Linked DNA regions of Caenorhabditis elegans. The protein of the gene in region 1 purifies or fractionates together with the protein of each later gene. This does not show direct contact. Each region holds a gene or a part of one and is shown in the gene's direction. Other genes may lie near its edges. The genes, in order: srrt-1 and spt-16.

Evidence for each region.
Region 2: the proteins of srrt-1 (region 1) and spt-16 fractionate together in Caenorhabditis elegans (co-fractionation; one large-scale study listed by BioGRID). This does not show direct contact.

What each region holds. Positions count from the first base shown.
Region 1 is NC_003279.8:4,130,390-4,135,860, forward strand, and holds srrt-1 (Serrate RNA effector molecule homolog), read left to right. Parts: upstream 1-2,110; 5' UTR 2,111-2,111; coding exon 2,112-2,179; intron 2,180-2,234; coding exon 2,235-2,327; intron 2,328-2,372; coding exon 2,373-2,603; intron 2,604-2,768; coding exon 2,769-2,938; intron 2,939-2,993; coding exon 2,994-4,101; intron 4,102-4,157; coding exon 4,158-4,468; intron 4,469-4,515; coding exon 4,516-4,673; 3' UTR 4,674-4,848; downstream 4,849-5,471. Other genes in the region: let-504 (NF-kappa-B-activating protein C-terminal domain-containing protein), read right to left, coding at 164-1,421, 1,613-1,674, 1,732-1,803; dph-6 (Diphthine--ammonia ligase), read right to left, coding at 4,941-5,018, 5,402-5,471. UniProt on the Caenorhabditis elegans protein: Acts as a mediator between the cap-binding complex (CBC) and the primary microRNAs (miRNAs) processing machinery.
Region 2 is NC_003279.8:10,786,882-10,793,693, forward strand, and holds spt-16 (FACT complex subunit spt-16), read left to right. Parts: upstream 1-2,248; 5' UTR 2,249-2,255; coding exon 2,256-2,327; intron 2,328-2,375; coding exon 2,376-2,468; intron 2,469-2,518; coding exon 2,519-2,974; intron 2,975-3,335; coding exon 3,336-4,777; intron 4,778-4,937; coding exon 4,938-5,364; intron 5,365-5,417; coding exon 5,418-6,020; 3' UTR 6,021-6,271; downstream 6,272-6,812. Other genes in the region: F55A3.2 (C2H2-type domain-containing protein), read left to right, coding at 6,711-6,812. UniProt on the Caenorhabditis elegans protein: Component of the FACT complex, a general chromatin factor that acts to reorganize nucleosomes. The FACT complex is involved in multiple processes that require DNA as a template such as mRNA elongation, DNA replication and DNA repair.

The sequences.
Region 1 (5,471 bases):
TAAAAATCGAAAAATCGAAAATCGGCACCCTTGCTTGGGCCATATTTTGCTTTAAATTGTCTTTTTTCTGGTTACGTTCTGATTTTTTTTAATTTACTACCAAATTTAACAGCAGTTTACAATTTTTCCCAATTTGTAAAAAAATTGTTCAATAAACCCTCACCTGGTTTTCTTTTCTCAATCTCGTCGCCTCCATTGCCTTGTGTCGAGATCCGGACATCACATAACCAACTTTTTCGTATTCAGCAATCTCTCCAGACGATAAACCGATTTCTCCTCGTCGTGGAATACGTTCTCCGCGAGCCGCGTACGCAGCCATTCCGGCGCCCTCTCCTTTTAGTAGATCTTTACCATAGTTTCCGGGCTTCTCAACATCATAACCACCACCTTGATCACGTTGTTTAATATGTTCTGGGAGAATTGGCGTCGGTGACATACTTCCTTCTTTCCATGTTCCAATCGTGCCAACAATCTTTTCAGACTGCTTTTCTTCCCATTCTTCTTCAGTATCAGAACGATTATTAATCTTTCTCTTCAGCTCAGCACGTTCTTTCTTTCGTTGCTCACGACGAGCTCTTCTCTCTTCTTTCTCCTTATTTGCCTTTTTGCTCTTTTTCTTCTCTTTCTTTTCCTTCTTTTTATCCTTTTTACTTTTCTTTGATTTCTTCACCTTCTTCTTCTTCTTCTGTTCAAAATCACTTTCCTCCGATTCAGAAGATGTCGAAGAATCGTCTTCAGAAACATTTCTAACTGCTCTCATTTCTCTTTTCTTCTCCTTCCTTCTATCTTCTTTCAGTTCTTCTCGTTTCTTTTCATTTTCTGCTTGAATCTCTTCAGCCGCAACTCTCAATTTATAAGTGTCATGTATCTCCTCATGAGTTGGCGAATGTCCCCAGATGTTATTCAGGCCATCGGCTTGGATATTAACTCGCTGGAAACGTCTTTTTGACCACATTTCAGCTCTACGATTTTCTTCTTCATCCCTCCAATTTCTAACAGGCGGCGAGCCGCTTCGTTGTCGTTGTCTATAATTTCTTCTTGGTGGAGACTTTGAACGGCTCTGATCTCGTCTACGTTTTGCTGGTGGTGGACTTCTTGAGCGTTGTTGTCTTCTCGGAGGAGGAGATCGACTCCTGGAAACTTGACGTCGTGGTGGAGATCGGCTTCTTCTGACTGGGCTCCTTGAAATTCGACGACGTCTTGGTGGAGAAGGACTACGACGAGTACGACGTGGTGGAGATCGGCTTCGTTTTCTTGGAGAATCATCACGACGTCTTCGTGGCGGTGAGGCACTCGGAGCACGAATTGGCTCTCGTTTTCGTTTTGGAGGCGAATTTTTTACAACTGGGCTTGAAGATCGAGAACGGGAGTCTGATTCGGAACTTGAACGGCTTCTACTTCGACTACTTCTGGAGGAATCTCTGAAATTATAAATTATAATTATTTTTATTTTAAAAAAACGTAAATTTCGCTTCAGAAAATCCAAAGTAGTCTCAAATTTAGAAATATTACAAAAGAAAATCGAAAAAATCCAAGTTTAAAAAGCGCGATTTTCCTATTCTGGTTTGAGAAAATGTTGTATTTTTTAAGCAAAAATTGATTGAAAACTCACCTTTTTGACTTCCACATTGGTTTGTCTTTGTCCCCGCTGCCACTATTCGTTCTTCTTCTGTTCTAAAAGTAATTTTAAATGAAAATAACATTTTTTGAACGTGCAAAACGGCAAAGTACCTCTCTCGACGATGATCTTGAACTTCGTGAATCATCTGAACTGCCTTCATAATCCAAAGAAATATCACTCATCTTGTGAATTGAAGTAGAAATCGGCGCGCAATCAAAAAATTCCGGAATTCAATAAAAAAATGATTTCGAAAATGACTGGAGATAAAAAAGAACAGAATTTCTGCGCGGCGGTGTTGCCGAGCAAGTCTCCGCCCACTTTAACCGTGCGGCGTGCAGCGTTCAAATTGGAAAAAAACATTGCGCGTTCTTTAGCATATTTTTCAGTGATTTTCTGCATTTTCTGCTCGCAAAATGTGTTTATTTTGATCCAAATAAATTTGATTTCTTCTGAATCACTTCAATTTATCAAATAAATTCTTATTTACAGAATGGTGGACTCTGATGATGATGGCGATCGCCGCCGTGACAAATTCGCCCGTGAACGTCGTGATGAGGAGTAAGTTTCTTTCTATTATATTTCAAATACTAAAAAATCACTCATTCTGTTTCAGTTATCGCCGTGGTGGAGGCGGATTCAATCGCTATGACAACAAGCGTCCTGGAGGACGAAGAGATGATTACCAAGTAAAGCGGAGTCGTGGAGAGTTAGTATCGTTTTTTGTTTACGTTGAAAATCTATGTTTTTTCAGCGACGCAGATGACAGTTTCGATCCCGTAAGTCGTTCTGGTAATGGTTCGGATTTACCCACTGAATCGGATTCCATATATTCGGGACCACTTCAAACATTCAAAAAGTTCCTCACTAGCCAGGAAGATGATATCTCGGAAGAAGATGCTATCAAAAAATATAATGAGTACAAGACAGAACATAGAAAACATCAACTTGAACGGTTCTTCCGTGCCCATAAAGACGAAGAATGGTAAATTTCAGCTTCGATTTTCAAGACCAGAGGCGCATTATGCCGCGGTCAACGGATTGGTTATATCTTTGAATTTTTCACTCGGCACGGATGCCATTCACATTTTGTTCCAATACCCGTTGTCTTTTAATATCTTGAGTTCTAATTTTTCAACATCTATTTCAGGTTCCGTCTTAAATACAAACCGGATGATGCGAAGAAGTTGCGAGAGGCGCATTTGGAAAATGTGCAGAAGCGCTTGCAGGTTTTCAATGAGTTGAAGGAGCAGGGACAATTCAATAAATTCTCTCTGGATTTCGGAGATGCGGAGGCAATCATTAGAATGCTAGATTCAGGTAGATTTTGTTTTTAAAGGTTTCGAATATATGTTTAATTTTGTTGTATTTTCAGTTGTTGTCAAGCTGGAAAATGGAACTGAAGACGAGTTGAAAGCTGTTCTGGCTCAAAAACTAGAAGACGAGTCACTCGCTGACATTAAAAAAGACGAGAATGGGAATGGAACCGAACAGCCGAAAGAAGAGCCAGAAGTAAAACAAGAATCCGGAGCAACGGAAGAGTTGGAAGAGGGAGCCATTGAAGATGGAACCGAAAAGTCATCGAACAAGGTCAACATCCACAGAACCTGCTCGGTTTTCTTGAGAAATATCCCACCAGGTCTCACATATGAGGAACTAGAGGGTCTCTGTAAAAAGAGCCCAGGATTTTTACGTCTTGCTCTGACCGATGGAATTGCCGAAAGAAAGTTCTACAGAAGAGGATGGGCTACATTCAAGCGAGATATCAATATCAAAGAAATCTGCTGGGCACTCAACGCACATCGTCTGCGAGAAACTGATCTGAATGCAATCATCAACCGTGACATTACTCGTCGTGTTCGTACCAATAATGGGATTGCATCTCATAAGCAAGTTGCGATTAACGATCTGAAGCTTGCTGTCAAGCTCACTGTTCTTTATGACAAGAAGATTGGTTTGTTCAACGCTGCTGATGAAGCTGATGCTGATCGTGAGATGGATATTCGTATGGGCGTTGATTTAGTCGCTGCTTCAACGAATCCGTTGATTAAAGAAGTTAAATCACTTGTTCCACATGATGTTCTCAATGATATTAGTGAAGAGGAAGCTGAATTATTGGGAGTCTCGAATGGAGGTGAAGCACCAGCTGAAAAGATTCGGTTTGAGCGCGATGATAATATCCTGAAGGCTCTCGATCTTCTCATCGTTTACCTTCGCATTGTTCATTCCATCGATTTTTATAATCACGGACATTATGCGCAGGAAGATTCGATGCCGAATCGATGTGGCTTGATTCACGTTCGTGGGCAGCCGCCTTCTGGAGTATCAATCACTACTGACGAGGATGGAGCTCTCGTCGTTCCACAGAAATTTGTGAACGATTTTATTTCGGGATTCAATAGCCGCATTGAGAAAGGGTTGATTGAAAAGCAGTATGTAAGCGAGGAAGAATTGGAGAAAATGGGCAAGAAGGATGGAGAAAAGTAAGTGAAAAAATTTGCTTTTTTAAAAATAATTTTTAACAAACCCAAATTTTCAGGGAAGTTGAAGCTTTTATTCAAAAGAATACTGTCGAGTTGGCAAAGGATAAATGGCTCTGTCCGCTTTCTGGAAAGAAATTCAAGGGACCTGAATTCATCCGAAAGCACTTGCAGTCTAAACATGAAGACAAGCTGGAGGAAGCGAGAGCAGAAGCTGACTTTTTCAACAATTATCTTGCCGACGCCCAAAGACCAGTCGACTGTGAGCCCAAACAAGCTCCAAGAGATGATCATCGTGGAGGTGGTGGTGGTGAGCGAGGTGGATATGGAAGAGAACGAGACGATGATCGAGGACCTGGTGGTGGAGGAAGTGAGTTGTTCAACTCTTGAAATTTCATAAATATGATTAATTTTCAGGAAACTCTTTTGGCGGTGGAGGATATGATCGTCGTCCCCAATTCCCTCCTCGACATTCACTTGGTGGACGAGGTGGTGGTGGACGCTACTTCGAGGATGCGCCACGTCGTCAGCCAGTCTCGTATCGCGATTTGGATGCTCCAGATGATATTCCATAATTCCATCCTACGTTGAATCCAATTCAAATATATGCACAACAAATTATGCTATTTATTTCCCCCTTCTCAATTAAATATTAGTTTTAACTAAATGTTTTTGTATGGCCAATAATAATCTCCTTTTTTAAAAAACGCTCCATTTTCAATACGTCCCTAATGAAATATGATTCTGTGTAACTCAACGGAACTTTTTATTAGAAAACAATCATCATAACAAGAAAAGTAAATATAACATTTAAAATTAACAAAAGTACATGTTTTCCCATCTCACTTGTCCTCCAAGTGCATCTTTTTCAGTCGGAGGTAGAACACAGGAGCAATGGGATCATCTTGGTGGGTTACTGTCTGGAAAAATACAGAATGTTGAAAGTTGGATTTCAAGTATTACGGGAGCTGAGAATGTGTATTGCGCAACATATTTGACGCGCAGATTGTCTCGTAGCGAAAACTACAGTAATTCTTTAAATGACTACTGTAGCGCTGTTGTCGATTTACGGGCTAGATTTTTTGAGATTAATTTCTTTTCGAATAGTGACAGGGTTTCTTCACATAATTTTCTATATTTTTTCGATAAATAAAGAATTTTAATTATTTTCGAAAATCAATCCCGTAAATCGACACAAGCGCTACAGTAGTCATTTGAAGAATTACGGTAGTTTTCGCTACACGATATTGTGCTCGCCAAATATGTTGCACCATACGCATTCTCAGAATTGTGTAATATCTACCTCCGTTTCATCGATAACAATTCGCTTTTTAAAAAGCGGGCAATCTCGTACAAATGACTCGAATTCTCCA
Region 2 (6,812 bases), 6.7 Mb from region 1:
GAAAGTTGAATTTTTTGCAATTTCCAACTTTCAGATTGTTTTTGAGCACTTCTTCCGTTTGTCCAATTGAATTAAAAAGCTATTTTCAGATACACAAACTGTTTCTCTACATTCTATCACCAAAAGAACTCCCAGTTCAACTATTTTCAGAACGATAAGCACCTTTTCATTATCACTGATCTCCACGTAGCGAGCTCTCGCAGCTGTCCATGATGCGGTTGTAGCCTGTGCTGATTTTCGAATCAAATCCATCTCCTTATCGTCTTTAACTGCGAACAGATGAGTAAACGCGAGAGTAACGTCATTCTTATTGACACCGCCTTCCTCGAGCGCCTTATTCCACGAACTGACGAATTCCGAGCTGAATTTCTCTTTGACGAAATTTCCAACATCTCCGCCTGCACTTTTGATGTGATCAATGAGCTTTTCAAAGTTTCCAGCGTCTTTATCGGTTTTATCGCGGAGCAGTGTGCTGACTGTTGGCACTTTTCCTGAGCTCTGATTGTCTCCAGTGACTGATCCGAAGAATTCGACTTTGCGATTACTTCCGAGAATGTAAATGTGATCATTGAGAAGCAACAGGACTGTGTCAGCGATTTCGTGGCCAAAAAGCCAGGTCTGAAATAAAAATTTGTCTTGAGTTTGAACAAAGTCTGAAAAATCCTTACAAATAGTTCGCTGGTCTTTGTATATGGATTATCAGTCTCTCCGTATACAAAAGCAAGTGATTTGATCGAATCTAGACCATCGGCTCCCTTCTCCTGTAAAATATTTGTAAAAAAGTAAAAACTATCAAAAACAGATCCAATGAAAATAAAATGGAACTCGGTAATTTTCAAACTCAATCTCACAATTTTTCGATGGAAAACATTTTAAAAATATAGCAATTCTACAGCTTTTATGGCAAAAAAATAGGGAAAAAATTAGAATTCAAAAATGTTCGTCGACAACAACGCAAAACCACAATCGTGTCGAGACCCATCCGAGTAAGCCGATGTCCCTTTAACCAACCCTATCGCGGTTTTTTTTTAAATTTTTAAAATTTCTTCAAATATTTCGTCCGTTTCTCTTGTGGACCGCTGTTAAAATAGTTAAATACTTTATTTTTCAGAAAACAGATAATTTATACCAAATTGACAGATGTAGAGCTAAACTCCTCAAAATTTTCTAAAGTTCTTATAATTTTACTGTTGTCTGCGTTTCAAGGCCTGAAATATTGTAGGCACTATCGTAGGATTACAACCGGATTTGTAACTTTGATTATCTGAAAAGGAAAAATATTAAACTTTTCTTTCAGGATTTTTCGCAATTGCCGGCGTAATAATTGCTAAAAGTCGACTTTAACTTCAATATATTTTAGCATTCCGAATCTGAAACTAGTTCCCAAATGCCATCTCTCCTTATCATTATAGTCTTCTTGCTGGTATTCTTGGAAATTGGATTTTTCCCTGTAATGTGTGGATGTTGGATGGATGTTTGTACACTTCCATTATTCAATATAACATTATCACAAAGAATTGCAACATTTGCCACAGCTCCATTCATGTCAATATTCCTTCATTGGATGGTTGGAATGATTTATGTATTTTATTCAGCGTCATTTGTGATTCTTCTTCGAGAAATCCTTCGTCCTGGTGTACTATGGTTTATGAGAAATCTCAACGATCCCGACTTTAATCCAATTCAAGAAATAATTGATCTACCGTTCACGCGGCATTTCCGAAGACTTGTTGTATCTACAACTCTGTTCTTTTCAACGATTCTTCTGACATCCTACATCCCGCTCAACATAATCTCATCACTTATTCCACATCTTCTACCCTACAGAAACTCCACTTTCTGAACTCTCGCTGGAATTGATGTTTCTTCAAGAATTCATCACAATTGTGTACTCTCACATGGCCCCTCCGTAAATAACATGGCGGGAATATTGCATGCGGAGTGGTTGCGAAAGTGCGTGCGGCTGTTGCGTTCCTTGACCACGCCCAACTTCATTCCATTCTTTTTCGCGCGCAATCCTCACTTTCAGCTCTAATTTTTCAGAGTTTACAGTTCTTCAGTGAAAAAATATTTGTCTCGTCAAAACGTTTTTTTCAAAATTTTAAAATTGTGTCAAAAAAAATTAATTTTTTCGCAAATTTCAAACTTTTAGCCTATCCGAATCCGTTGCTGGTCACTTTGTTTACGTTATCGATTTTTGCTTCCATCTCTCAATCCTCGTGACTTTAACACAATTTCTAACTTTCAGGGGAGAAATGTCTGGAAAACGGGCAGTTCTCAACAAGGATCTCTTTTTCCAGAGAGCGGAGAGGCTTTATGAGCACTGGGTTTGTGACTTTCAGGACTTTACGAATTTTTAATCAAATATTTTACAGGAGAAGGGAGCCGATGGTCTAGATTCGATCAAATCACTTGCTTTTGTATACGGAGAGACTGATAATCCATATACAAAGACCAGCGCACTATTTGTAAGGATTTTTCAGAATTTGTTCAAACTCAAGACAAATTTTTATTTCAGACCTGGCTGTTTGGCCACGAAATCGCTGACACAGTCCTGTTGCTTCTCAAAGATCACATTTACATTCTCGGAAGTAATCGCAAAGTCGAATTCTTCGGATCAGTCACTGGAGACAATCAGAGCTCAGGAAAAGTGCCAACAGTCAGCACACTGCTCCGCGATAAAACCGACAAAGACGCTGGAAACTTTGAAAAGCTCATCGATCACATCAAAAGTGCCGGCGGAGATGTTGGAAATTTCGTCAAAGAGAAATTCAGCTCGGAATTCGTCAGTTCGTGGAATAAGGCGCTCGAGGAAGGCGGTGTCAATAAGAATGACGTCACTCTCGCGTTTACTCATCTGTTCGCAGTGAAAGACGATAAGGAGATGGATTTGATTCGAAAATCAGCACAAGCTACAACCGCATCATGGACAGCTGCAAGAGCTCGCTACGTAGAGATCATTGATCAAGAAAAGGTGCTTATCGTTCTGAAAATAGTTGAACCAGGAGTCCGCTGCAAGCATTTCTACATAATTAGCCAGTTTTTGGTGATAGAATATAATGAAGCAGTTGATGTATCTGAAAATAGCTTTTAATTCAATTGAAAAAGCGGAAGAACTGCTCAAAATCAATCTGAAAGTTGGAAATCACCCGAAAATTAAACTTTCATGCAGTTTTTGAGCGTTCTTCCAGTTGTTTCAATTAAATGTAAAGCTATTTTTAGATGACTAAACTGTTTTTCCTTTTATCTATCACCAATAACTGGCTCATTTTTTAGTACTCCTGGGAAAACCACTGTTTTAATCCCGAGAAAATAATTCTTTTTTATTTTTGCAGCGAGTCCGTCACTCTGTTCTCTCCAATGAGTTTGCCGCCTTCATGAAGGATTCAAAAGTACAACAGGCACTGGCCAAGTATGAAGCCGACACATGCTATGATCCAATCGTAATGTCCGGTGGAAATTACTCGTTCAAATGGAATCATGAAAGCTCGGAATCTCATCTTCACAGCCAGTTTGGAACGATCATCACTTCGTTCGGAGCTCGTTTATCAGAATATTGCACAAATTTGACGCGAACTATGCTCATCTTCCCATCTTCTGAACTTGAGACTGCCTATGAAGCGATTCTTGCCGCCGAGCTGGCAGTAATTGCTGCTCTGAAGCCAGGAGCCAAGCTGAGCGATGTTTATAAAATTGGAATCGATACATTGACGGAGAAAAGTCCAAAACTTGCTGAAACTCTGAACAAGAAAGAGCTTGGATTTGCGACTGGAATCGAATTCCGTGAGAGTCGTCTTGCTATCAGTGCGAAGTGTGACGAGGTTGTCAAAGCAGGAATGGTCTTCATCGTTTATATTGGTGTCGATAGTATTCCAAACAAAAATAAAGGAGAAAAAGGAAAACCCGCCGCAATTGCAATCTCGGATACAATTTTGGTTAAAGAAGAAGGCGATAACGAGATTCTCACCGAAAAAGCCAAATCACGCCTGAAGTCCAACGTCATCAAATTCAAAGAGGAGCAGGAAAACCGTGAAGCTGAAAAGGACAATGATCAGAAGAAAATGCTCGGAAGAGGTCAGAGAAGTGTCGTTCTAACTGATCAGACGAGAAATAAGACGACAAACGAAGAGTTACGTAAGGAACGTCAGAAAGAGCTCGGAGTTCAGTTGAATGAGCTCGCAAAAGCTCGTCTTTCAAAGCAAGGCGGTGGGACCGATGAGAAAAAGTCGAAGAAATCGAATGTGTCATATAAAACCGAAGAGAGATTCCCACAAGATGCAGACGTTCAGAAGATGTTGATTTTCGTGGATCGCAAGTATGATTCTGTGGTTGTTCCAATATTTGGAATTCCTGTCCCATTCCATATCTCCATGATAAAGAATTGTTCGCAATCAGTTGAAGGAGATTTCACATATCTTCGAATCAACTTTGCCACTCCAGGATCTCAAGTTGGAAAGGATAGTGGGCAATTCCCACATCCACTTGCACACTATATGAAGGAGCTCACGTTCCGTGCGAGTAACATCAAGGATCATCACAGTGATTCGACTGCGCCGAGCCATAATTTGAGCACCGCATTCCGACTCATCAAGGAAATGCAGAAGAGATTCAAGACTGAAGAGGCTGAAGAGCGGGAGAAGGAAGGAGCTGTGAAGCAGGACAAATTGATTTTGAGCCAGAACAAATTGAATCCGAAGCTCAAGGATCTTCTGATTCGTCCGAATATTATTCAAAAGCGTATCACTGGATCGTTGGAGGCCCACACTAATGGATTTAGGTACAGTTTTGAAGGAAAACGAATGTTTCTGAACTCAAAAATTGCCAAATTTGAAAACTTTCGTTTCGAAATTATGCCGTTTCGGATCAGTTTTAGTCTATTTAAACAAAAAAAATCTAAAAGCTCAAAATTTCCTATTTTTATTTCAATGATTTTCCAGATACACATCTCTTCGTGGTGATCGTATTGATGTTCTCTACAACAACATCAAACATGCATTCTTCCAACCGTGCGACAATGAAATGATCATCCTTCTGCACTTCCATCTCAAGAATCCAGTATTGTGGGGAAAGAAGAAGTATAAGGATGTTCAATTCTACACAGAAGTCGGAGAAATCACTACGGATCTTGGAAAGTATCATCATATGCAAGATCGTGATGATATGCAGAGTGAACAGCAAGAACGTGAAATGCGTCGTCGTCTCAATGCTGCATTTAATAGTTTCTGCGAGAAGGTGTCTCGTCTCACAAATGATCAATTTGAATTCGATTCTCCGTTCGCTGGACTCGGATTCTTTGGAGTTCCGTATCGTTCGGCTACCACACTCAAACCAACTGCATCGTGCCTTGTTAATCTCACCGAATGGGTATGTTTTTTGAATTTTATTCCTGAATTCTTTTATATTTTATTTATTTTCAGCCTACATTCATCGTCACACTCTCCGAAGTTGAACTTGTCCACTTTGAACGTGTCTCTCTTCAACTCAAGAATTTCGATATGGTCTTCATCTTCAAAGATTACAAGATCAAACCTCAGATGGTCGCCCAAATCCCGATGAGCAGCATCGATAAGATAAAAGAATGGCTTCATACTTGTGATATTTGGTACAGTGAAGGAATTCAATCACTGAATTGGGCAAAAGTTATGAAGACAATCACTGATGATCTTGAAGCATTCTTTGAAGAAGGTGGATGGAGTTTCCTTAATGTTGAATCTGATAATGAAGAGGCAATGGATGATTCTGATGATTCGGATGCTTATGATCCTGAAGAAGAAGATGCATCTGCTGGATCAGGAAGTGAAAGTGATGAAGATGAAAGTGAAGGTGAAGAGACTGAATCCGATGATGATGATGAAGGATCGTTGGATTCCGATGAATCAGAAGGAAAAGATTGGTCAGATTTGGAGGAAGAAGCAGCGAATGCTGATAAGAGACGTGAAGTCGAAGAACCTTCACGTGATCGTGATCGTAAGAGACCACATTCGAGCAAGTCTGGACCATCGCACAAACGCAGAAAGTAAATCCTGTTTGTATAATTTCCTCCGTTTTATTCTTTTGTTTTGTTTTTCAACTATTTAAATCCCCAAGAATTTTCTTCGCATCTCAATCAATCAATCCGTCCCGTTACACCCCCCATTTTACAACAATTTTACAACTAAAATCTGTCAATCCCCTTATTTTTCTTTCCCACTCAAAATTTGAGTCGATGCTAAAATATTTTTGATTTCAAAATCAATTAATGTCAAATGAAGTTTCATGGAGGCACGTTTTTACATAATTTTGTCGGTTTTCTGAAAATGTTTCCGTTTCTACTTTTTCTGATTAATATTACAACAACAAAATTATACAGATTTCTAAAAAGGAAAAGTTTTGCCAAATGGGTCTCGCCGCGCAGACGACAGGTTACTGTAGCTCGTGTTGATCTTCGAGCCGCTTTAGAATATTATGCAAAAGCGTCATAGACACGAGTTACCGTAGTCCTCGTGGCGAGACCCATTTGGCGAAAAGTTTTAATTTTAGACGTCTGTGTAATAAGCAGTTGCTTGAAACATGAAGATCGTATGCAGAGGGTGGAGCATTGGAATGCTCTTGACATGCCACGTGTCTTGCACTTAGCCCTCTGATTGCGGTGGATTTGTGGGTTCGGTGAGTGGGAATTTTGCTGAAAATAATTTTTTAATTGAATAAACTCGCTAATTTCCGATTTACAGATGCCGAAACCACCTGGCCCAGTGGCAAAACGGTTAAAACTGAAGGATGATTCAGTTTCGGGTTCCGATTCAGCATCTACGAGAACGAGTCGAAAAACACGT